2 linked regions of the Anolis sagrei genome follow. The protein of the gene in region 2 purifies or fractionates together with the protein of the main gene of each other region. This does not show direct contact. Links are inferred from orthologs where the notes say so. Each region holds a gene or a part of one and is shown on either strand. Other genes may lie near its edges. The genes, in order: WDR24 and DEPDC5.

The links.
Region 1: the proteins of DEPDC5 (region 2) and WDR24 purify together in Homo sapiens (affinity purification with western blotting; 4 studies listed by BioGRID and IntAct, with this or other methods). This does not show direct contact. The link is inferred for Anolis sagrei from reciprocal best matches to the Homo sapiens genes DEPDC5 and WDR24.

Annotation. Positions count from the first base shown.
Region 1 is NC_090034.1:26,274,250-26,287,480, forward strand, and holds the start of WDR24 (GATOR2 complex protein WDR24), read right to left. Parts: upstream 5,613-13,231; 5' UTR 5,480-5,612; intron 5,296-5,479; exon of another isoform or gene 5,122-5,295; intron 5,102-5,121; exon of another isoform or gene 4,676-5,101; intron 3,361-4,675; 5' UTR 2,982-3,360; coding exon 2,501-2,981; intron 2,199-2,500; coding exon 2,021-2,198; intron 529-2,020; coding exon 1-528. UniProt on the Homo sapiens protein: Catalytic component of the GATOR2 complex, a multiprotein complex that acts as an activator of the amino acid-sensing branch of the mTORC1 signaling pathway. The GATOR2 complex indirectly activates mTORC1 through the inhibition of the GATOR1 subcomplex.
Region 2 is NC_090034.1:49,304,955-49,317,453, reverse strand, and holds the start of DEPDC5 (GATOR1 complex protein DEPDC5), read left to right. Parts: upstream 1-7,657; 5' UTR 7,658-7,877; intron 7,878-12,407; 5' UTR 12,408-12,423; coding exon 12,424-12,481; intron 12,482-12,499. UniProt on the Homo sapiens protein: As a component of the GATOR1 complex functions as an inhibitor of the amino acid-sensing branch of the mTORC1 pathway.

The sequences.
Region 1 (13,231 bases), about 23 Mb from region 2:
CTGGAAGAGGAGATAAATTCAAACTGCTCTGTGGGGTCTAACTTGCGCTTGAAGAAAATAGGGTGCCGCCGGTCGCCGATGTAAGGCTTGCGATTAGAATCCGAGGAAATTAGACTCTCTTTGGCCGCAAAAGCCAAGTCCCCAAAGAGGCTATAGCAAAGCCCTTCAGGGTTCGCCCGGTCAATTGGCTGGCTAGCATCTTTGAAGATGTGCTGGTAAAGAGTACTATCCTTGGAACCAGAGAGGAGGAAATAAGGATCGTGGAGATGCCGCCACACAATCCCCGTGGTCACGTCTTTGTGCTCTTCGAACATGGCTGAAGGAATGAATGGACGGCGAACATCCCACACGTAGATGTTGTGGTCCACCATCATAGAGCAGGTGGCAATGTGGTGCTTGCATTCCGGCCGCCACTTGACCCTTGCCACAGATGCGATTGTCTGCACGCAGTAGATCTCTTTGGCCCGGTTGGTGTTCATGTCCCAGACCTTGACCATCTTGTCTCGGCCCCCAGTGGCCAGCCAACCCCTAGAGGAAGGGCAACAACACAGAGACACCTCAAGAGCAAGGAAACAACAGTTCGAGAATCAACACATCCTAAATGCTGCCTTATGCAGACATTTGAGCCATTCACAATTCCGTTAAACTGCTCAGAGATTCACAATGAACTTTGATGTCCTTGTGGAGAGAAAAAGTGGGGTATAAATGAACATAACAACAACACTATGTAACATGTTTTTTGTTCCTGAGTGATAAATGTCATTTTTAATTAGTTCTATGATAATAATAATAATAATAATATTATAATAAACTTTATTTGTACCCCACTACCATCTCCCCAAGGGACTCGGTGCGGCTTACATGAGGCCAAGCCCAAAGTATATTAAACACAACATCAATAAACAATCAATAAAATACAAAAAATATAGAAAAAAAGTTTATTAAACTGCATATATGAAGTTTCTGGAATATAACAACTACTTTCAAAGTAACTATCGCACAATTAAACAGGAAATAACACTTTCAAACCAGGAACAGAACATTTTCCAAATTTTATTACATAGTGTAATACAGTGAAGCCCCTTGCTCTTCCGCAAATGCTTCCCCCATTTATTGAATATATCCAGGTGACACTATCCTCATTCTTTAGTACAGTGTCCAGAATCTATTAAAATGTAGGAAAATATCCCACTTCTTCTTGAGTGAAGAACTCTGATTTTTATAGGAACGTGTATCTGTAATGCTTAAAAAAATTAAAATAGTACCAAAACCCCTTTAAAACCAAGTATTGCATATACTCAAGTATAAGCTGAGTTTTTCAGCCCTTTTTTAGGCTGAAAAAATCCTACTCGGCTTATACTCGAGGAAAGGTATACTCTGCTTTTATTATTATTATTACTATATTTATTATTTTACTCTATTATTATTATATTACATTTAGATTATTTTACTCTACTTATTATTATTACATTTACCTTTTATCTATTCTTACTGTTATTATTACATGTACATTATTTTACTCTATTATTATTATTATTACATTTATTATTTTACTCTATTATTATTGGAAGGATAAGCACATTTACACTGAAGAAGATTAAAATAATGGTCTAATCAGAGTTGGGCAGTCTTATCTTAAATTACAATTTTATGTAAATATTCAAAAACATTTAACCTACTGATGCCTCAATTAAGGTCATTTTATTGCTATCTATTTTATTCTGAAATTTACCAGTAGCTGCTGGATTTCCTACCCGCAGCTTATACTCAAATCAATAAGTCTTCCCAGTTTTTTTGTGGTAAACTTAGATGCCTTGGCTTATATTTGGGTTGGCTTATACTCGAGTATATACGGTAGTCCATTTTAAAAGTCAATTTTCAAGTGACTGTTTGTCTATTAAGTCTAAAATGCAAGAAGGACAAAACATGAATAATAGAGGAAAGGGACAAGAAAAAAGTAGGGTACTGGAAGATCAGAAACAGCACTTTTGGGGGAAAAACAAATGCTATCTGCCCATACCTGTCCTCTGGATGCCAGTCACAACAGAATACAGGCCCATTGTGGGCTGTGAACATCCTTTCGTAGCGATCCGGACGGCGGATGTCCCACAGCTGAACGTTGCCATTTTCAAAAGTTGCAGCAAAGGTAAAGTAATCTCGAATGCTAAACTGGACATCACGCACGCTTTCTGATTGTCCTGAAGAAGGCAAGGGATAGCATGTTTGGCATGTCTGGCATTTGGTAGACCTTGCCTTGCAATTCTGAGTTATCACAGGAGAAACAAGGAAATGCACAAAGTAAACTTGTCCTAGTTTCAAATATGTGAGCTGAAGTTGCTCATGCAGCACACCAGTGTGTCCCGACACACAGTTTGGAAAGCTCTGACCTAATTCTAATAACTGAATTATGTGGACAGAATGAAGGTATTTTCAAGAGGCAGGGAAAACGCTAGGAGGAAGTAGTCCCAAGGTAAAGAACCAATAACAAACCAGCCCTTACCCGAGAAGGTGCTCACTGAATCCTTCTTGCGCAAGTCGAAGCACTTCATGTAGCCGTCCTGAGAGCCGCTCAGCAGCATGTACACTTCAGTCGGGTGGAAGCACACCTTGTTGACAGTGCGCTTGTGTTCAGTGAAGAGCTGGTCCTGCTTGTTGCGGGAGGGCTTGCCGAGGTTCCAGGTCACCACCACGCCATTGGTGGCTGCCGTGGCTAGCAGATTCTCGTCCATCTGGTGCCAGACCACGTCGGCACAGCTAAAATTCAGAGAGGGCTTGCGGCCGACACGCAGGTTCAGCTTCTCTACGAACTGATCCTCCTCAATGGAGTAGATCTTGAAGATGTTGCGCCCCGCCACCACAACCTGGGCCGCATCCCGGCACACGCTGATGGCATTGGAAGGGGCGTCCAGGTGGCAGAACATGGTCCGCCCAGTGATCGTGTTGCCACCAAGGGCAGTGGTCACTCTCGCCATTTTCTCCATGGCGGCCTTCCCTAGACTTCCTAGATCACAAAGCAAGGGCTTCAACAATTATACCCCCAAACACGCCATCATAAAAATAAGATACCTTCTGTCGGCAGCTAGTCCTTTACAACCCAGCCTGTCAGAGGAGTTTCTACAACTTCTTAACATGAGCAAGAGTTGCTGAATCCATCAAAGCAGATGCGAGCTAATGGCAGTTAAGTCAAAAGTTTATTTAACAGACCTTGTTATCTCCCACTGAAATCTCTTGGTGATATGACGAAGACTTTCCCTTTTCCCACTTTACTCCGAAGAAAATGTTTGGAGAATGTTTTCTGTTTTCCTGAAAGAAGTTTTGACTGAAGAAATCCAACAAAATCTTCTCCAACAAAGGATAACACTATACGGGAGGGAAGCAAACCAACACACGTCATAAAAAAGCAACAATATTAAATAATGGAAATTAGCAATTCTTGACATTTAAGAAGAATTAAATTAAGTTGCATATATATTGGTGGCCTAATAATAATAAATAATAATCTCTCCTGCACATTAAACAGCCTCCTTGGCATAGCGGACCGCTGTTGTTGTTTTTTACTTGTACAGTGATGGTCCTATGTAAATAAAAATTGTAATAGTAAGAAATTCACTGGTTTTGTATTTGTACAGCATTATGTACATCAATGGTGCTATATAAATAGGGAATAATTATAAGAGAGGATGCTTTTGCTATATAAGTAGCTAACAACAATAATAATACAAATTATAACAATAAGGAATTTGTTTTTTATTTGTATTTGTACAGTGCCATGTACATTCCTTGGTTTTGGTTTTTACTTGCACAGCACCATGGACATTGGTAGTGCTATAAAAATAGCTAATAATAATAATTAAAGAATGTGTTGGCTTTTGCTATATTAGTAGCAAATAATAATAAAAATGTTAATAATAAGGAATATTTTATTGACAGAGGGCAAGCTATTTAACTTCAGCAGACTGAAAACCAAAACCAAGATCACAACAACATCTGTTATAGCACTCCAATATGCTGATGACAATGTTGTCTGTGCTCATTCAGAAGATGGCCTACAAGTCACTCCAAGCACCTTTGCAGAAGCATATGAGCTCGGCCTCTCATTGAACATTGAGAAAACCAAAGTGCTCTTCCAGCAGTCACCAGTCAATCCCTCTGCAATGCCAGAGATATAGCTTAATGGTGTAACATTAGAAAATATTAGCCATTTCCACTACCTTGGTACCCTCCTCTCCACAAAAATTAACATTGATACTGAAATACAACACTGCCTGAGCTCTCCAAGTGCAGCATTTTTCCGAATGAAGGAGAGAGTGTTTGAGGACTGGGAAGTCCGTAGGGAGACCAAAGTGCTTGTTTATAAAGCCATTGTCCTCCCAACCCTGTTATATGCCTGTGAAATGTGGACTGTCTACAGATGTCATATGCAACTCCTGGAACGATTCCATCAGCACTGCCTCTGAAAGTCTGCAAATCTCTTGGGAAGAGAGATGGACAAATGTCAGCATGCTGGAAGAAGCAAAGACCACCAGCATTGAAGCGATGCTCCTAAAACGCATCGCACGTTGTCCGAATGCCCGATCACCATCTCCCAAAGCAGTTACTCTGCTCTGAACTCAAGAACGGGAAACAGAATGTTGGTGGACAGAAAAAGAGATTTAAAGATGGGCTTAAAACTAACCTTTAAAACTGTGGCATAGACTCTGAGAACTGGGAAGCCCTGGTCCTTGAGTGCTCTAACTGGAGGTCAGCTGTGACCAGCAGTGCTGTGGAATTCGAAGAGGCACAAATGGAGGGCGAAAGGGAGAAACGTGCCAAAAGGCGCGTCAAGCCAACCCTGACCAGGACCACCTTCCATCTGGAAACTGATGTCTTCACTGCGGGAGAACATGTGGGTCAAGAACAGGGCTCCACAGCCACCTATGGAACCACCGCGAAGACCCCACATCTGGAAGACCATCATCCTCGAGCTACGAGGGCTCACCTAAGTCAGTAAAGCAAGGAAGGACTGGAGGGATTTGAGGGGACTAACCTCTAGTGTACTCTACAGCCAGAGATCACACTGACTCCCACCAACGATGCATCTGGAGCAAACCTGCCCAACATAACAAAGTTTCAGGGGCTAACCTGACATAATGTGAGCTGCAGTTTACCCATCACTTTCTGCGTTAGGTAAAATTTAAAAAATGACTTTTTCAAATACAAAGTAATAAAAATAATGATCCTTCCACATTTCCGGCAGCTTAGGCCTCACGCATGCGCAGACTTCGCCCCAAGCTCCAGCTGCGCATGCGTGCTTCTAATCTTTCTTTTACTGTCTTGCCAGAGTAGGCCAAAGCCGAAGGGTGGGGCGAAGCTGGCGCATGCGTGCTGATTTCTCTCCCTGTGTCTTGCCGAAGTAGGCCGCACTCTCAGAAGTTCTCCTCAGAAGCGCACGCCATGAGGGAAGCCAGGCTTGAGGTAAAACGACTAGGCCGCGTCTCACCTGGCGGCGACGGAAAAGCAGCAGCAGCAGCCGGGCTCGAGCGGGCTCTCGACTGGGAAAGACCCCGGCTCTTCGGGAGGCCACTTCTCCGCCCTCCTTGCTTCCTTCTTCCGCCTCTTCCTCCTCCCCCCCCTCCTCCGCGGGAAGGCAGGCCCGCCCCTTCCGCCCGCAGCCTAGGCCGCCCCGCCCTCGCAGCAGCAAAGGCCTACAGCCATAGAGGAGGATAATAAGTAGACTAATAGAATAGTCATAATATAGTAATTATTACTTTGAAAACAGAAATGGTAGTAATAATAAAAATAATAATAATATAAAATACATAATATATATAAATAAAATATAAAATATATAGCATATAATAAAGTAACATATATAATATATAAATAAAATAGATATAATAAAAGATACAAAATACAAATGCATATTATAATACAAAATATATAGTATCTAATATATAAATAACATAAAATATATGGTATGCAATAACAATATATATAGTATATATATATATATATATGTATAAAATAAAATAGATATAATAAAATATATGAAAATACAATACATATTATAATACAAACTATATTTTATGTAATATATAAATAAAATATATAGTATCTAATATATAACAAAATATATGGTATGCAATAACAAAATATACAGAATATATAAATAAAATAGATAATAAAATATATAAAAATACAAATACATATTATAATATAAAATATATATTATGTAATATATAAATAAAATATATAGTATATAATAAAATGTATAATATATGAGTAAATAATAGATGTAATAAAATATATAAAATAAAAATACATATAATAATATAAAATATAATATATAAATAATAAAACAGATATGATAAAATATATAAAATTCAAATAACAATATAATATATATAAATATATATAATACAAATACAATAATATAAAATATATTATTTATAATATATAAGTAAAATATATATAATAAAATATATAGAAATACAAATATGTTAGCTGTGTAATGCTTCAAAGATACTAAATCAGTCGTTTTGTATTTTTAAAGTTTTTTAATATATATTTTTATAAACAGGTCACGTGATAAAATAGCACAAGAAACACTTACCAAATATAAGGTTATATCTTCGGAATATACAGGAGAAGGAGGCTTATATATATACAGTAAGAAAATGATTTTTTAGAATTTTATTATTTTCTTCTTTCCCCTCCCTTTTATAGTCATTTGAAACATCACAGCTTCCATCGTTTTAAATAAGACTTTGGACCAGCGGATACTTTAAATAGAGGTGCAATGGGGACAATGGTGCAATGTCTCCCATGCAAGCCTCCATGAACAAAGGGAGCTGTTCCCATATATATGTCAATGCGGCTTTCACCGAAGACATTCCTCCTAAGGGGTTGTGCCCGAAAACTCTTGGACCAAGACATTAGTGCCACTCTTGCAGGAAATGGAGTCAACTCTCGGCCAGATCCAAAATAGGAGTCATTTAGAATATTGCTGTTTGCACTGGCTTCACCAAATGGCCAACTTTACACCTTTGCTTTCAGTATCTTTTCTAACACTTCTTTCTCATTCGACTTTTTCCCATTTTCCACTATCTCTTTGCAACCATTTCTCTTGATTCTGTTTACATTGAGAGTTTAATGCAGATATAATGTGATTTGCAGTCTGAGGCTGGATCTACACTACATCATCATCATCATCATTATTATTATTATTATTATTAGCTGCCTTGAGTCTCCATTGGGATAAAAGCAGGATATGAATAAAGGTAATAATAATAAGGTTGCTGCGAGATTTCCAGGCTGTATGGCCATGTTCCAGAAGCATTCTCTCCTGACATTTCGCCTACATCTATGGCAGGCATCCTTAGACGTTGTGAGGTCTGTTGGAAACTAGGCAAGTGGGGTATATATATCTGTGGAATGTCCAGGGTGGGAGAAAGAACTCTTGTCTGCTTGAGGCAAGTGTGAATATTGCAACTGACTAACTTGATTAGCATTGAATGGCCTTGCAGCTTCAAATCCTGTCTGCTTCCTGTCTGAGGGAATCCTTTGTTTGGAGATGTTAGCTGGCCCTGATTGTTTCCTGTCTGGAATTCCCATTTTCTGAAAGTTGTTCAACAGAAAGGAGGAAACCATGAAAATGAACAAAATCTGGCTACCAGTATTTAAAAACTCTAAAATCAGGACAGTAATTAAAGAATAGCATTCAGAAAAAGGGGGATTCCTGGCATGAAACAATTCCAGGCACGAAACAATCACTTGCTTAGTTTCCAACAGACCTCACAACCTCTGAGGATGCCTGCCATAGATGTGGGCAAAACGTCAGGTAAGAATGCTTCTGGAACATGGCCATGCAGCACAGAAAACTCACAGCAACCCAGTGATTCTGGCCATAAAAGCCTTCGCGACAACACAGAAGAAGAAGAAGAAGAGGAGGGGGCGGGGGAGAAGACGAAGGTGATAGACCCATGTAGCCTGGATCTACTCTGTCATATAACATCTAGATTATCTGTTTTGAATTGGATTCTATGGCAGTGTAGACTCATATAATCCAGTTCAAAGGAGATAATCTGAATAATCTGTTTTGATCATCTGGATTATGTGGCAGTGTAGATCCAACCTAAGTGCATTCATGGCAAAATTAAAATGTAATTCAGGGATTTCTTGGTCCCATGTCTCATGTTCCTGACTATACTCATTGTCCCTTTTCCTTGTCTTGCATCACTGCTCCAAATGACTGCAGGGATGCAAGGCAAGGAAGTCCCTGAAAAAAAATGCTGTCCCTGCTATGATGTTTTCCAAATGCAAAACTAATCCATACTTAACTTCCTTGCACAGCATTACTGTATTTGGAGTATGACCCTTTCTCCTTGTGGGTTCCTTTGCAATTTATATTCGCATTTGACTCCAGCAAGAGAAGGTGACTGCTGCAAATCATCTGGTCCAAGGATCAATTTCTGATAGCACCCACTCCTCTCTTTGATAAGAAAAGGACATGTCAGGACTTGGGATAATGGCTTTTTGGACTACCGCTCTCAGAATCTCACAGCCAGCATGACCATTGATGGTGGGATTCTGGGAGTTCTTGTTCAAAAAAAAACACCACCTCCAATCTACAGCCGGGGGGGGGGGGGGGGGGGATGGGACACACCCTTTCTGAAGGCACTCTCTGCTATTCAATGGCTTTGTCTTCTGTGCCCCACCTCAGACTTACTTGCCTTTCCCTTGTGATGGTCTCAAATGGAAAACTCTGGATGGAAAACTCTGGACACTGAAGCTTCTGTGTGTTAATGAAGGATTTCATGGCCAGAATCACTGTGGAATGTCTAGAGTGGGAGAAAGAACTCTTGTCAAGCCAGGCTTTGAAACCGCAAGGCTATTCAATACTAATCAAGGTGGCTCATTGCAACATTCACATTTGCCTCGAACAGACAAGTGTTCTTTTTCCCCATCCTGGACTTTATTCCACAGGTATATAAACCCCACTTGCGTAGATGCCCGACCACCGTCTCCCAAAGCAGTTGCTCTACTCCGAACTCAAGAATGGAAAACGGAATGTTGGTGGACAGGAAAAGAGATTTAAAGATGGGCTCAAAGCCAACCCTAAAAACTCTGGCATAGACACTGAGAACTGGGAAGCCCTGGCCCTTGAGCGCTCCAGCTGAAGGTCAGCTGTGACCAACAGTGCTGTAGAATTTGAAGAGGCACGAATGGAGGGTGAAAGAGAGAAACATGCCAAGAGGAAGGCGCGTCAAGCCAACCCCGACCGAGACCGCCTTCCACCTGGAAACCAATGCCCTCACTGCGGGAGAAGATGCAGATCAAGAATAGGGCTCTACAGTCACCCACGGACCCACCAGAATACTGCTCCTGGAAGACTATCTTACTTGTTCAACGAGGGATCGCCTAAGTAAGTAAGTAGTTTCCAACAGAACTCATAACCTCTGAGGATGCCTGCCATAGATGTTGGCGAAACATCAGGGGGGAATGCTTCTAGAACATGGCCATGCAGCCCGGAAAACTCACAGCAACCCACTGAAGCTTCTGCTCACAGATAATGTGAAAACTGGGGGGGGGGGGGGGGGAGTGTTTTTGGTCTTCTGCTTAGTATCCCCCCCCCCCCCCCCCACAAGATATCATTCAGGCATAGGATATAAGCCATCTCTTTTCTAATATACTCACCCAAGCAGAAAGGCTTATTGGGGACCAAAATTCTAATACAGATCTGTGTCACATTTACAGTCAACAGTAAATCGTGTGTATGACAATATATATTAGTACCACATGCTAATTTGGACTGTTCACCCCACCCCTTTTAATGATCCAAACGTAAATGGTTCCTATATCTCTCTGTTATGCATTTGACCGAATATGGATTTGCTGCTGCTCTTTTGTCTCTGAGTGGATTTAGACTATTATTAGTCTTTTCATATTGAAACTTGGCATTCAAATCCCGGAGCTGATTGGGTACTTTTCCAACTCCCAAAATGTTGAACACTCCTTCAATTTTTATTGTTTTGAAGGATAGGACAATCCCACTTTGTTTTCTCTTTGCACTTACCCATTCCCTTGTCCTATTGTTTACAGCCTAGCCATGTTTATTGTAGCTTATCGCCATTATTTATTGAGTGCTGTTTTATTGAGTCTTAAGTTGTTGTTTTATATGCCTATATGTATTATTCTGTTGTATTTTATACTGTGTCTTATTTTATGTTTTGGTTTTAGGCATCTTGTGCTGTTGTGTAAGCTGCCCCGAGTCCCTTCGGGAAGATGGTGACTGGATACAAGAATAATGTTGTTGTTGTTGTTATTATTATTGTTATTATTATTATTATCCAACATCCTTTTGTAAAATTAGCCTCAACTTATTTCCATTGTTTCTTTTAATGAAGAAATTTGCCAATTTTTGTAAATGCTTAACAGCAAACTAAGGAAATCAAATAGTTACACCTGCTTCCTCTGCAGGTATTAAAGAAAAGCAAATAATTGGCTGCACAGATTCAGTATTCCAAATGCAGAGGAGTAGTCATTTAAACTAATCAATTGATGACTTCTGCTTCATTAAGTCAATCTGACCATTTCTTTTTTTGATATGAATGTCTTCCTCCCATTCTTTTCATGAAATTTATGAAGTTCATTATGGGGACTTCTTCCAGATGCTCTGCTTTGAACTGAATGATATGAGTCTACACTGCCATATAATCCAGTTCAAAGCAGATTGTCTGGATTCAGGAACTGGATAATTAGGCAGTGTAGATGGGACCTTATTTCAAAAAAGCCAAATGAAAACCTCACCAATTTCCTACTCTCTTGTAATCATTTGGCTGCTATTGAATGCTCAGAGACCAGACTCTGGAGGTAACATTTCTTTCTTTTGTATATACAGCAACTGAAGAAATGAAAAGCAGAGTGGATTTATCAGCTGTGGTGAAAAAAAAATCTGGTCTTTGGCGTCTCTCACACATAATGGAAGCTGGAACGTAAATTTAAAACAATATTATGTGTCAGGGGACAACAGTTTGTTACTATTAGTTAATGTTATGGGTCAGGAAGCAAAGGTTTTGTTTGCATTGTGCTTGCCATTTTAAAATGTAACTGTTTGATTTCCTAGGGTTTTTAAGTAACTAAAAATATTTATGTTTTTAAAAGACGTCAGAAAAAACGCATACTATTGGCTCAAGGTCCCAAAAAACCCAAATAGCGAGGCTGTGCAAGTATAAAAGTGAATAAAAAGAGCCACAATTACATTACAAAAGCACTTGTGTCATCCCTTGTTAGTTGTTCTGACACTGCTGGTGTAACACATATATGCCTTAATCACTGGAGAAGGAAATATATCACCAGCAGCTCTACTATTAGTACTCCATAAAGTCCAAGTGCTCGCCTAATAGCAGCCATTCTATCCAACTGAAGCAGGAGATATGGAGTGGCAATTTGGCTGAGAGATCAGGGATACCTGAGGACAAGATTTTTCCGTGCAGTTGCCATGCTTCATTTAATCAACTGTGTAGTGATCCATATGTCTTCCAAATTTGCACCATGTTTTACCACCATTTCTTCCACCCTTGTTTTTCCTGCAGAAAATTCCCATTAAGGAAGAAAGCCTGCAACAGCCATTGAATATCATTTGATAATGGAAACCTGTTTGAAAGCACCCACATTCCATTTCCCTCCTTTTCGGAGATGTTTCAGTTCAACCCTATTTCTGTAAAAATTTTGGAATTTATAATTGCAATTCATGCCTGAGTTTGTGCGCCCCCCCCCATCCCCCTTTTCATATCATTCTTTGCTTTTCTGGAGATAAGGGTTAAAAATACTGTCAATCAAATAAGGAATCACCTGATGCTTGGCCATCCAGAGATGGATCCCTACATATTCAGTCATTTCCAAATCTGTGAAATTAAAGGTTTAAATATTACAGAGCCTATGAAGTTTCCTCAGCAGTGTACAGAGTTTTCCAGAGAGCCAACCTTTGAGACGGCTGAAGCTAGCAAATGGCATGTTCAAATAGATTCCCTCCCCCCTTTGGAATCGCGTAATCCGTTCTCCACTCTCCCGTCAAGCTTCAGGGGAGTTTGAGGCGGGATATTGAATCACGTGACCAGGAACCCCATCTATGACCCACAACAGGCAAGGCCTCCCCCTAAAAAAAAAACCCACCCCAACTCCCACATTCACTTACCCAACCCTCACAATCATGCAGTTCTGCAGGATACGCAAGGCAGGATGAAAGAGCAGGGAGTTGTAAAACGTCACCCTAAAAAAATAGGCTGGCTTAAAGCTTTACAAAGATGTTATGGCAACAAAATGTTTCGCACCGAAGAAATACCAATGTTTTTTTAAAAAAGTGGTTGTCAAAAGCAAGTTTGTTCATGAGTTCCGTACAGATGAAGAGCACGCTGATCTCCAGGCACATCCATTGGGTGTGATGTGGGAGCAGTTTACCATTGCACATGGTGTGTGCGCCACCATCTGGGGCAGGTTGCGTGGCCTTGTATGGAGAAGCATCGTAGGCCTCTGAGCCAGTCTGTTTGCCCAAGCACAAGTGATATATGTATACAGATAGATATATGTGGATGATAGGTCACAAACAGATTGATTCTTTCCCCCACAGCATCCCCACATCATGCACAATGATCCATCCTGCTTCTTCCCTTACCCCTCTCTGGTAATCAGTTGGGATTTAAAAAAAAATCAATGTAATGCAGGCATGGGCCAACTTTGGCCCTCCCTCCTTTGGACTTCCACTCTCACAATTCCTAACAGCCAGTAAGCTGTTATGAATTGTTGAAGTCTAAAATACCTGGAGGGAGGGCCGAAGTTGGCCCATGCCTGATGTAATGTATCTCCTTGTACACAATAACATGTGCATGGTTCCTTCCAGATATCCGATGAGCATTTACAGAAAGGTATTTTCAAACCCCTGCCACTATCCGCATGGTCTACAACCAGAGCTTTTCAAACTGCACCGCAACACATTAGTGTGTCAGCTGCAATGCGAGGTGTGTCGTGCGAACCTCACAAGAAATTACAAAAAAAATCCTGGAAATGTATGTAATTACATGACAAATCATATATTTCTGAAAAATATATAAATGAAAAGGCTTTTATGAGATATGTTACGCCTTCATATATTTAATCGTTACAATTTCTGTCTGTGTCCGCATCTCTTCTTTTAACCTCCATTGTGTGCGTTTGGAAAACTGTGTTGTGAATTGTTGCTCATCTAAAAAGGAAT
Region 2 (12,499 bases):
CTTCATCTTCTTCATCACCTGGGTCGGAAGGAGGGGAGGTACCTCCTCTTTGCTCTTTTTTCTTTTCCCTGGTGGAGGAAACAGAGGGAAAAGCTTGAGTGAGAGACCCCCAACTCTCTCCCCAATACATTACCTCCCCTTCAAAGAGCCCCCCAAATCCCCCCACTTTTCCCCTCAAGCCCCCAAATTTCTCCCCAAAATCAATTTCCAAAGAACCCAATTTTCCTTAAAAAAACTCCCTAATTTCCTCTCCAAAGACCCCATAATGTATTTTAAAATACCCTCCAATTTCCACTCAAAAGGCCCCTGAATCTCCCTTAAAAGACCCCATAAATTAAGACCCCACAATTTCATCTCAAAAGACCCCATAACCTCCTTTAAAAGACCCCTTAATTTCCCCTGAAAATTTCTCTTAAAAGACCCCTTATCTTGAGACCATAATTTCCTCTCAAAAGACCCCATAATCTCCTTTAAAAGATCCCCAAATTTCTTCTCAAAAGACCCCAATTGCCCTGAAGAGACCCCTAATTTCCCCTCCAAAGACACCTAAATCTCCTTTAAAAGACCCTTAAATCTTTAAAAGACCGCTTAATTTCCTCTCAAAAAGACCCTGATTTCTCTTTTTAAAACCCTATAACCCCCTTTAAAAGACCCCCAATTTCTCTGAAAAGACCCCACAATTTCCCCTCAAAAACCCCCACAATTTCCCTTAAAAGACCGCTTAATTTCCTCTTAAAAGACCACATAATCTCCTTTAAAATACTCCTTAATTTCCACATAATCTTCCCTTAAAAGACCCCCAATTTCATAGAATCGTAGAATCAGAGTTGGAAGAGACCTCATGGGCCATCCAGTCCAACCTCCTGCCAGGAAGATTATGAGGTCTTTTCCCCTCAAAAGACCTCATAATCTCCATTCAAAGACCACTTAATTTCCTCTCAAAAGACCTCCTAATTTCCACTCAAAAGACCCCTGAATCTCCCTTAAATTATCATATATTGTATTGTTCTTATAGTATTATTATATTATATATTATTATTATAGAAGTAGTAGAAGTATGTATTTGCAAATTATGAGAAATTATATATATGTTGTATACACACACATATATTTGGAAGGTATGAGAAATTGTGCCTGATTTATTATTATATATTATTATACTATAATCAATGAGTAATATTTTATATTATTATATATCATTGTGTTATTATAATATTATAAGGTAAAGGTAAAGGTTTTCCCCAGACATTAAGTCCGGTCATGTCCGACTCGGAATTGGTGCTCATCTCCATTTCTAAGCCGAAGAGCCAGTGTTGTCAGTAGACACCTGCAAGGTCATGTGGCCAGCATGACTTCACGGAACGCTGTTATAATATAATATTATATATTACATTATTATAATATTGACAGTTTGAAGCCGGGTCAGGGTGAGCTCCTGACCTTCAGACCCGCTCCCCTGCCCACCTGGTGGATCAAAAACAGCAATGTGAGTAGATGAATAGGAACCACATTAAGCGGGGAGGTATTTTATGTAAGAAATATTAAATATTAACTATTTTGGATTACAAAAGTGTGAGTCAAGCACTGAAAGAGTTAGTAGGTGGAAGCCTGTAAGAGCCAGGGGAACAAAGCTAGTGTCTTCCTGAGAATGAGTAGGCCAAAGCCTGTTAGAGTGAGTGGGCCTAAGCTAGTGTCGTTCTGAGGAGTGTGCGTGAGAAGCTTTGGTGAAAGAAGCCCCAGGTTAAAGGCCTTACTATGTGAAGCTCCAGGATAAGTTCATTGTGAGAGGAGGCTCTGTGAGATTGAGGCTGTTTATCTGCATGAGGAAGAAGCCCAGCATGGAAGGAAAGAAGGAAGTATAAAGGACTTTATTTGTGTTATAGAAACCTTGTTATTGTAAATAGTGCAACTATATTATTTTACTACGAAGAAAAGCCTTCTATGGAAGATATAACTTTGGTCTGTGTGTTTTTGTTCTTTTTATCACTTCTGGTTACTGGTGCTGGGTTACACTGCTACTAATAAGTTACTCTGCTATACATTCATGGGGAGGGTCCTTCATTAATAAGCCCACTCGTCCAACATTTTAGGCACAGCGTTTCGGAGAAAAGTTGACGAAGAAAGAAAACTTTTTGGCAAGGAGGAGGAGCAACAGCACACCCCTGTGGCTGGAACCAAGCACAGCCTCCAAAAGATGCCGAATGATGAGAAATAAGCCTAACCCTAACCCTATCTATTGCCTGTCTTGACATTGTATACTCGGCATTGAATGTTTGCCGTATATGTGTTCTGTGATCTGCACTGAGTCCCCTTCAGGGTGAGACAGCCAAAATAGAAGTACTGTAAATAAATAAAATAAAAATAAAAATATAATATCTATATAAATAAAAATGCAATGTTCATTTGTGGGATTAACATAACTCAAAAACCACTAGACGATTTGACACCAAATTTGGACACAATACACTGATCAGGCCAATTAGTGACCATCACTCATAAAAACACTGAAAAACACAGTAGAAGGGACTTAAAAAGTCACACACCTCCGCCCAAAAGATGCTACAACGCATGCACAAAATGATTCCCCCTGGCAAACAAAACACACAATAGCATATCCACACTCTCTTCCAGACTACAGCTCCCAGCATCCCTTAGATCAGGCCCTTTAGGAGAGGAGGTTTAGCACAGCTGGTAAATCATCAGCAATTATAAGATCTATCAACCAAAAGGTTGCAAGTTCGAAGCCCCAGGTTGGCATGAGCTGCTAACTGTCAGCCTAGCTCATTGTTTACCTAAGCAATTCGAAGACAGCTTTAGCTGTGATTAGAGAAGTTAGGTACCGCTAAAAGTGGGGGAGGTGTTTTACGACGCCATAAAGAAAAAATATCAAAAAATGCTGGTTGACCAAAAGGAAGGAAAAGTCCTGATGGCTCTTCGTCATAGAGAATAGACTCAAGCCCAACCTTCCATGGCACCAAAAACAGCTGGACACTGAGTTGAAAGAAAAGGGGAGGGGGGAGAGAAAGAAGGAAGGAGAGAAGGAAAGAAAAAAAACATAACAAATCTTACTAATGGGAGTTTTAGGGGGTTAAATTATAACCTTATGCATTTTGCCGGGTACCCAAGCTAGTATTATATATATAACATATTAATAAAAGAATACTATAAGAATATAATTATAACAATAAGAATAGAAATATACCTATACAATAATAATATTATACTATAATATAATAATCCTATAAGAATACAATATATAAGAATGATATAACAATAACATAATATTATATTATACTAATATAAGAAGACTATAAATATAAAATGACTATAAGAATATTATATATAAGAATACAAATATAACATATTTATAATATAATATATTACAAAAAGAATATAATATAATAAGACTGTAAGATTATAATATATAACAATAATATAACATAATAATATATACTTATATGCTATAATACTATAATATAATAGAAGAAGAGTGGACTATATAAGAATATAACTGTAATATATAACAATAAAACATACAATAATACTATAATATAATATAGGAATACCATAAGGATATAGTATATAAGAATATATTAGTATAACCTATAATCTATATAAATAAAAATAAAAATGTAATGGTTGTTTGTGGGATTAACAGAACTCAAAAACCACTGGGGGAATTGACACCAAATTTGGATACAATACATCTATCAGGCCAACAAGTGACCATCACTCAAAAGAATTGATTTTGTAATTTGGGAGTTTTAGTTGCTGGGATTTATCGTTTACCAAGAATCAAAGAGCATTCTGAACTCCAGCAAGGGTGGAATTGAACCAAACTTGACACACAGAACTCCCGTGACCAAAAGAAAACACTAGAAGGGTTTAGTGGGCATTGACCTTGAGTTTTGGAGTTGTAGTTCATCTACATCCAGAGAGCTCTGTGGATTCAAACAATGAAGGATCTAGACCAAACTTGGCATGAATACTCCATATACCCAAATATGAACACAGATGGGAGTTTGGGGAAAATAGACCATAACATTTGGGAGTTGTAGTTCACCCAAAATCAAAGAGCATTCTAAACCTCACCAATGATAGAATTGGGCCAAACTCACCACACAGAGACCCCCATAACCAACAGATAATACTGTGCTTTCTGGTGGTCTTTGGCAACCCTTCTGACACCCCCTAGCGACCCCCCAGGGGCCTGATCCCCAGGTTGAGAAATGCAGCCTTAAGGCCTTCTATATTAGTTATACTAGTCCAACTCCCTTCACCAGGACAAGAAAACATAATCAAAGCCCTCCTGATAAAAAGCCACCCAGCCATAGATATAGGTAGATAGACATGATTCATGTGCGCGCACACACACACATATATATGTATATGACAGATATAGTATCATAGATTTGAAAGGGACACCTAAAGAAGGACAATTATATGCTGCATGTTCCAGAGTAGGCAAACCAGACAATCCCTACACCAACACTGACAAAGAAAAAAAAAAGAAATACTGTTTACACACAAGCAGAAAGACATTACATATATTAGAAACCAACAGTTTTTCATTGCCTTATTTTCCAAATCACAAGACTGGACCACAGCAATGCATGACAAGGGACAGCTAGTATTATATAATATAATATATAAGAATACAGCATATAAGAAAAATATAACTATAGTATAACAATTATATAAGACTATATATTACATAAGAATATAACATAATAATATAGAATAGCATAAGACTAAAAGAATATAAAATAAAATATTAATATCTGTAATAATATTATAAGAAAGTAAGGAGAGTATAAGAATAACATATAATAATAATATGAAAATATACTACTATTATTGTTCATTCGTTCAGTCATTTCCAACTCTTCGTGACCTCATGGACTAGCCCACGCCAGAGCTCCCTGTCGGCTGTCACCACCCCCAGCTCCTTCAAGGTCAGTCCAGTCACTTCAAGGATCCCGTCCATCCATCTTGCTCTTGATCGGCCCCTCTTCCTTTTTCCTTCCATTTTCCCCAGCATCGTCTTCTCTAAGCTTTCCTTTCTTCTCATGATGTGACCAAAGTACTTCATCTTTGCCTCTACTATCCTTCCCTCCAATGAGCAGTTGGGCTTTATTTCCTGAAGGTATGGACTGGTTGGATCTTCTGGCGCTCCAAGGCACTCTCAGAACTTTCCTCCAACACCACAGTTCAAAAGCATCTCTCTTCCTTTGCTCAGCCTTCCCTAAGGTCCAGCTCTCACATCCGTAGGTGACTATGAGGAATACCATGGCTTTAACTATGCGGATCTTTGTTGCCAATGTGATGTCTCTACTCTTCACTATTTTATTGAGATTGGACATCGCTCTCCTCCCAAGAAGTAAGTGTCTCCTGATTTCCTGGCTGCAGTCTGCGTCTGCAGTAATCTTCGCTCCTAGAAATACAAAGTCTGTCACTGCCTCCATGTTTTCTCCCTCTATTTCCCAGTTGCTAATCATTCTTGTTGCCATAATCTTGGTTTTTTTTATGTTTAGCTGCAACCCAGCTTTTGCGCTTTCTTATTTCACCTTGATTAGAAGGCTCCTCAGCTCCTCCTCGCTTTCGACCATCAAAGTGGTGTAATCTGCATATCTAAGGTTGTTAATGTTTCTTCCAGAAATGTTTACCCCAGCCTTGCATTCGTCAAGCCCCGCACGTCGCATGATGTGTTCTGCATACAAGTTGAATAGGTTGGGGGAGAGTATACAACCCTGCCGCACACCTTTCCGAATCTTGAACCAGTCTCTTGTTCCATGGTCAGTTCTTACTGTTGCTACTTGGTCCTTGTACAGATTCCTCAGGAGACAGACAAGGTGACTTAGTATGCCCAGACCACCAAGAACTTGCCACAATTTATTATGATCCACACAGTCAAAGGCTTTAGAATAGTCAATGAAACAGAAATAGATGTTTTTCTGAAACTCCCTGCCTTTCTCCATTATCCAGCAGATATTGGCAACTTGGTCTCAGCACAACAACAGAGAGGAAACAAACAAGGACATTTAATCACCTCTCAACAAAAGTTTGCTCCAGGCACTGTTAGGCCATTATATGCTAATCAAGGTGGTCAGTTGAAACATTCACACCTAGCTCCAGCAGACAATTTATTTACTTTATTTATTTACTTTATTGGTATACCGCTCTTCTCAGCCCTTAGGCAACTCAGAGCGGTTTACAACAATTTAGGTATACACAATACAAAATCAGACAAGAGTCCTTTGCCCCACCCTGGTCATTCCACAGATTTATAAACCCATTTTCCTAGTTCCAACAGACCTCACTACCTCTGAGGATGCTTGCCATAGATGCAGGCGAAACGTCAGGAGAGAATGCCTCTAGACCATGGCCATATAGTCCGAAAAAAACCTACAACAGCCCAGTGATTCCGGCCACTAAAGCCTTCGACAATACATTAATTTGGTTTCTCATTCCTCTACTTTTTCTAAACTACTATTATAAGAATAAAATCGTATAAATCTAACAACATATAACATAGCAATAGCACTATAATACATTGTATATTAATATAACAATAACAACATATGGTTTTTGTATGTTTTTTCGGGCTATAGGGCCATGTTCTAGAGGCATTTCTCCTGACGTTTCGCCTGCATCTATAGCAAGCATCCTCAGAAGTAGTGAGGTCTGTTGGAATTAGGACAATGGGTTTATATATCTGTGGAATGGCTGGGGTGGGGCAAAGAGCTCTTCTCTGCTGGAGCTAGGTGTGAATGTTTCAGCTGACCACCTTCATTAGCATTTGAAGGCCTGGCTGAGCCTGGGAAAATGTTTTGTTGAGAGGTGTTAAGATGTGCCTGGTTGTTTCCTCTCTGCTGTTTTGCTGTAGTAATTTTAGAGGGGGTTTTTTTAGAGAGGAAACAACCAGGCACATCTTAACACCTCTCAACAGAACATTTTCCCAGGCTCAGCCAGGCCTTCAAATGCTAATGAAGGTGGTCAGCTGAAACATTCACACCTAGCTCCAGCAGAGATGAGCCCTTTGCCCCACCCCAGCCATTCCACAGATATATAAACACATTGTCCTAATTCCAACAGACCTCACTACCTCTGAGGATGCTTGTCATAGATGCAGGCGAAACGTCAGGAGAAATGCCTCTAGAACATGGCCCTATAGCCCGAAAAAACCCACAAGAACCTAGTGATTCCAGCCATGAAAGCCTTCGACAATACAAATAACAACATAATAATCCAATGATATAATTTTCAAATAGAACATATAAGATGAATATACCATAACTATAAAAATTCTGTAAGAAGAATAGAATAGACTAGAATAACAGTATTATCACCGAATGGCAAGGTCTTCTCTCTGAAGGGGCTTCCTCCCTCCCTCCCTCCTTCCTTCCTCCCCCTCCCCTGAGGGAGGGGCCACTTCCGGCAGAACCCAAGACCGCGCCTCGGTGGGAGCCTTTCTCCTGCTTCTCATTCTTCTCCTCTTGCTTCTCCATCCTTACCTGCTTCGGCCGCCGAGGAGGCCTGCCTCCCTCTCGCGCCGCGACTATCCTCCCGCCCCTCTCGGTGACCCGCCGCCTCCACTTCCGCCTCCGCTCTGTCCCGCCACTCGGTGGTTCTACATCCGGGGACTGACTCCAGTGCCTTCCTTCCGCCTTGTCCCAATCTTAGGAGGAAAGAGATACCCGGATGGGGACGCTCTAGGCCTCCGTGGTGTTTATACACGCGCCGGGAGTCCCGCTCTCCATTCGAAGCCCAGGGCATTCCAGAGGCAAGGGGTGGTTGGGTCTCAGCCTCTCCGCCTCGCCTGGCCCCGCCCCATTTCCCGGTCGCAGTTGGTTCGGCCCGCCATTCAGGAGACCCAGGTGGGTTGAACCATTATGATCTACATAGGGGGGAATCCCGCAGAGGCCTGCCTGCCTGTCTCCCTTCTGTAATATGATACAGTCATAATATAATTGTAATATATTATAATAATATTAATTTAAGAACGATAATGTAATAATATAATACTGATATGATTGTAAGGTAATGATAATATAATAATAATAATCTATATAAATAAAAATGTAGTGTTCGTTTGTGGTATTCACAGAACTCAAAAACCACTGGACGAATTGACACCAAACTTGGACACAATACACCTATCAGGCCAATGAGTGTCCATCACCCCTAAAAACACACTAAAAAACCAGCAGAACCCCCCCCCCCCAAATAAGCTATATATACATATACACCTGCACACATACATACACACACACATGTGTACACAAGCACACACAAATATACACGTACATATAGACATGCACACATACATGCACACATACACATATATTTACATATACACATGCATACATACACATATATACACAAGCACACACATATACACAATATACATATGCACATATACACCTATCTATCTATTTGTGTATATGTGTATATATGTGTGTTTGCATATATAGATAGACAGAGATATATACACACATACACACACACAAACAAACCATATATGCAGACTGGGCCACAGCAACACATGGCAGGGTACGGCTAGTCTATATAAATAAAAATGTAATGTTCATTTGTGGGGTTAACAGAACTCAAAAACCACTGGACAAATTGACACCAAACTTGGACACAATACATCTATCAGGCCAATGAGTGTCCATCACCCCTAAAAACACACTAAAAAATCAGCAGAACGGACTTAAACCCCACCCACCCCCCAATAAACTATATATACATATACACTTGCACACATACATACACACACACATGTACACAAGCACACACAAATATACACATGCACACATACACATATATTTACATATACACATGCATGCATACATAAACATATATACACAAGCGCACACGTATACACAATATACATATGCACACACATACATCTATCTATCTATTTGTGTATATGTGTATATATGTGTGTTTGCATATATAGATAGATAGATAGATAGATATATATACACACATTCACACACACACACACTGTATATACAGACTGGGCCACAGCAACGCATGGCAGGGTATGGCTAGTCTATATAAATAAAAATGTAATGTTCATTTGTGGGGTTAACAGAACTCAAAAACCACTGGGTGAATTGACACCAAACTTGGACACAAGACACCTATCAGGCCAGTGAGTGTCCATCACCCCTAAAAACACACAAAAAACCCAGCAGAACGGACTTAACCCCCCCCAAAATAAACTATATATACATATACACTTGCACACACATACATACATACACACACACATGTACACAAGCACACACAAATATACACATACATATAGACATGCACACATACACATATATTTACATATACACATGCATACATACACATATATACACAAGCACATACAATATACATATACACATATGCACACACACACATATACACCTATCTATCTATCTATTTGTGTATATGTGTATATATGTGTGTTTGCATATATAGATAGAGATACATACACACATACACACACACAAACAAACCATATATGCAGACTGGGCCACAGCAACACATGGCAGGGTACGGCTAGTCTATATAAATAAAAATGTAATGTTCATAGAATCATAGAAACAAAGAGTTGGAAGTGACCTCATGGGCCATCCAGTCCAACCCCCTGCCAAGAGGCAGGAATATTGCATTCAAATCACCCCTGACAGATGGCCATCCAGCCTCTGTTTAAAAGCTTCCAAAGAAGGAGCCTCCACCACACTCCGGGGCAGAGAGTTCCACTGTTCGTTTGTGGGGTTAACATAACTCAAAAACCACTGGACGAATTACTGCCAAACTTGGCCACAAGACGTCAACTAACCCAAGGAGCGACCATCACTCAAAAAAATTGAATTTGGCATTTGGGAGTTGGGGGGAATAGACCTTGACATTTGGGAGTTGAAGTTGCTGGGATTTATAGTTCACCTACAATCAAAGAGCATTCTGAACCCCACGAACGACAGAATTGGGCCAAATTTCCCACACAGAACTCCCATGACCAACAGAAAATACTCAAGGTCATCCAGTCCAACTCCCTTCACCAGAGCAAGAAAAGGTAATCAAAGCCCTCCTGACAAACAACCATAGATATAGATAGATATGATTCACACACGCACAGATATAGTATCATAGATTTGAAAGGGACCCCTGAAGAAGGACAATGATATGTTGCATGTTCCTGAGTAGGCAAACCAGACAATCTCCACATCAACACTGACAAAAAACAACAAGAAATACTGTTTACCCACAAGCATAAAGAAATTACATATATTAGAATTCAACACCTTCTCGTTACTTTATTTTCCAGATCACCAGACTGGGCCACAGCAACATGTGGCAGTGGACGGCTAGTCTATATAAATAAAAATGTAATGTTTGTTTGTGGGATTAACAGAACTCAAAAACCACTGGACGAACTGACACCAAATTTGGACACAATACGCCTATCATGCCAACAAGCCAAAAAACAAAACATGCATTACAATGCATGCGCAAAAAACATATAAACACAAACACACATATATACACATATACACAAATATATACACACACATATATGCATATACATACACACAAAACACAAAAACACAGACTGGGCCACAGCAATGCATGGCAGGGGACAGCTAGTAATCTATATAAATACAAATGTCATGTTCGTTTGTGGGATTAACAGAACTCAAAAATCACTGGACAAATTGCAGCCAAATTTGGCCACGAGACACCTCCTAACCCAAGGAGTGACCTTCACTAAAAAAAAAAATCGATTTTGTCATTTGGGAGTTGTAGTTGCTGGGATTTGTAGTTCACTAACATTTAAAGAGCGTTCTAAACTCCACCAATGATGGAATTGACCCAAACGTGGCACACAGAACTCCCATTAACAACAGAAAACACTAGAAGGGTTTGGTGGGCACTGACCTTGAGTTTGGGACTTGTAGTTCATCTACATCCAGAGATCACTGTGGACTCAAACTTAAAGAGACTTAAAAAGCCAAAAAACAAAAATTACATTACAACGCATGCGCAAAACCACATATATAAACGCAAACACATACACACAGATATACACACATAAAACACATATAGACAGATGGCCACAGCAACATGTGGCAGGGGACGGCTAGTAAATAAGGGGGATTCAGGGCATTTTCCAAGTAACATCACCGAAACATACAAAGTAAACAGCATAACATAAAATTAACAAAACAACATAAGCATAAAATTATCAGAATAACACATGTATATTAAAAGTAATCCTGCCTGTTCAGAGCAATTAAAAGCTGGGACAAAGCTAGTGCAAACTCAAAATATGAGGGAATTAAGATCAGTGCTATAACTCTGGACTAGAACTGGTCATTCTCAAAGGCCACCAGGTCTTCAAGCTCTTACAAAAGGAGGGGAGGGATGGGGCCTGTCTTATTTCCCTTGGAAGGGCGTTCTAGAGGCGGGGGCCACCACCCAGAAGGCCCTCTCTCTTGTCCCCACCGACCCTTCCAATATTTTCGGTTGGTCATGGGAGTTCTGTGTGGCAATTTTGGTTCCATTCATCATTGGTGGAGTTTGGAATGCTCTTTGAATATAGGTGAACTATAAATCCCAGCAACTACAACTCCCAAATGACAAAATCACCCCACCCCACCAGTATTCAAATTTGGCGTATTAGGTATTTTGGGTGCTTCAGAACCCCCCCCCCCCCCCCCCCCCCCCCGCTTTTAAGTGGTACCTATTTATCAACTCATATTTCCTTTCGAACCACTAGGTAAGCGGAAGCTGAGCTAAAGGCCGGGAACTCAGCCTGACTTCAAACTGATAGCCTTTCAACTGACAAAATTAACTGCAGCTGGTGGTTTAACCTGCTGTGCTCAAGCCCAGCATTTTAATAACATTGATAATAAAACTGTAATAAAAGTTTTGTGTATGTGTCAAGAGCGGCTTGAGAAACTGCAAGTCATTTCTGGTGTGAGAGAATAGGCCATTTGCAAAGACGTTGCCTATGGGATGCCCAGATGTTATACCATCCTGTGGGAGGCTTCTCTCATGTCCCTTCATGGAACGCTGGAGCTGACAGATTCAAACCACCGATCTTTTGGTCAGCAGTCCTGCTTGCGAAAGGACAAAACCCATTGCGCCATTGGGTACTCCACTGATCATATTTTTGTTGTTCATTTGTTCAATCGTCTCCGACTCTTCATGACCTCATGGACCAGCCCACGCCAGAGCTCCCAGTCAGCCACTGATTATATACTATAGTAATAATATAATAGTAATATAATAATGATAATATCATTATAATATAATAATTAATGGGGAGATTCTCAGTCCTTGTCTAATGCAATTCTATGGTGAAATACATTTTCTTAAAGGAATATTTCTATTTTTTGAAGGATTTGAAGCCTCAAGATGAAAACCAACAAAGTCTACAAACTCGTCATCCATAAGAAAGGCTTCGGCAGCAGCGGTTAGTTCATGGGAAACT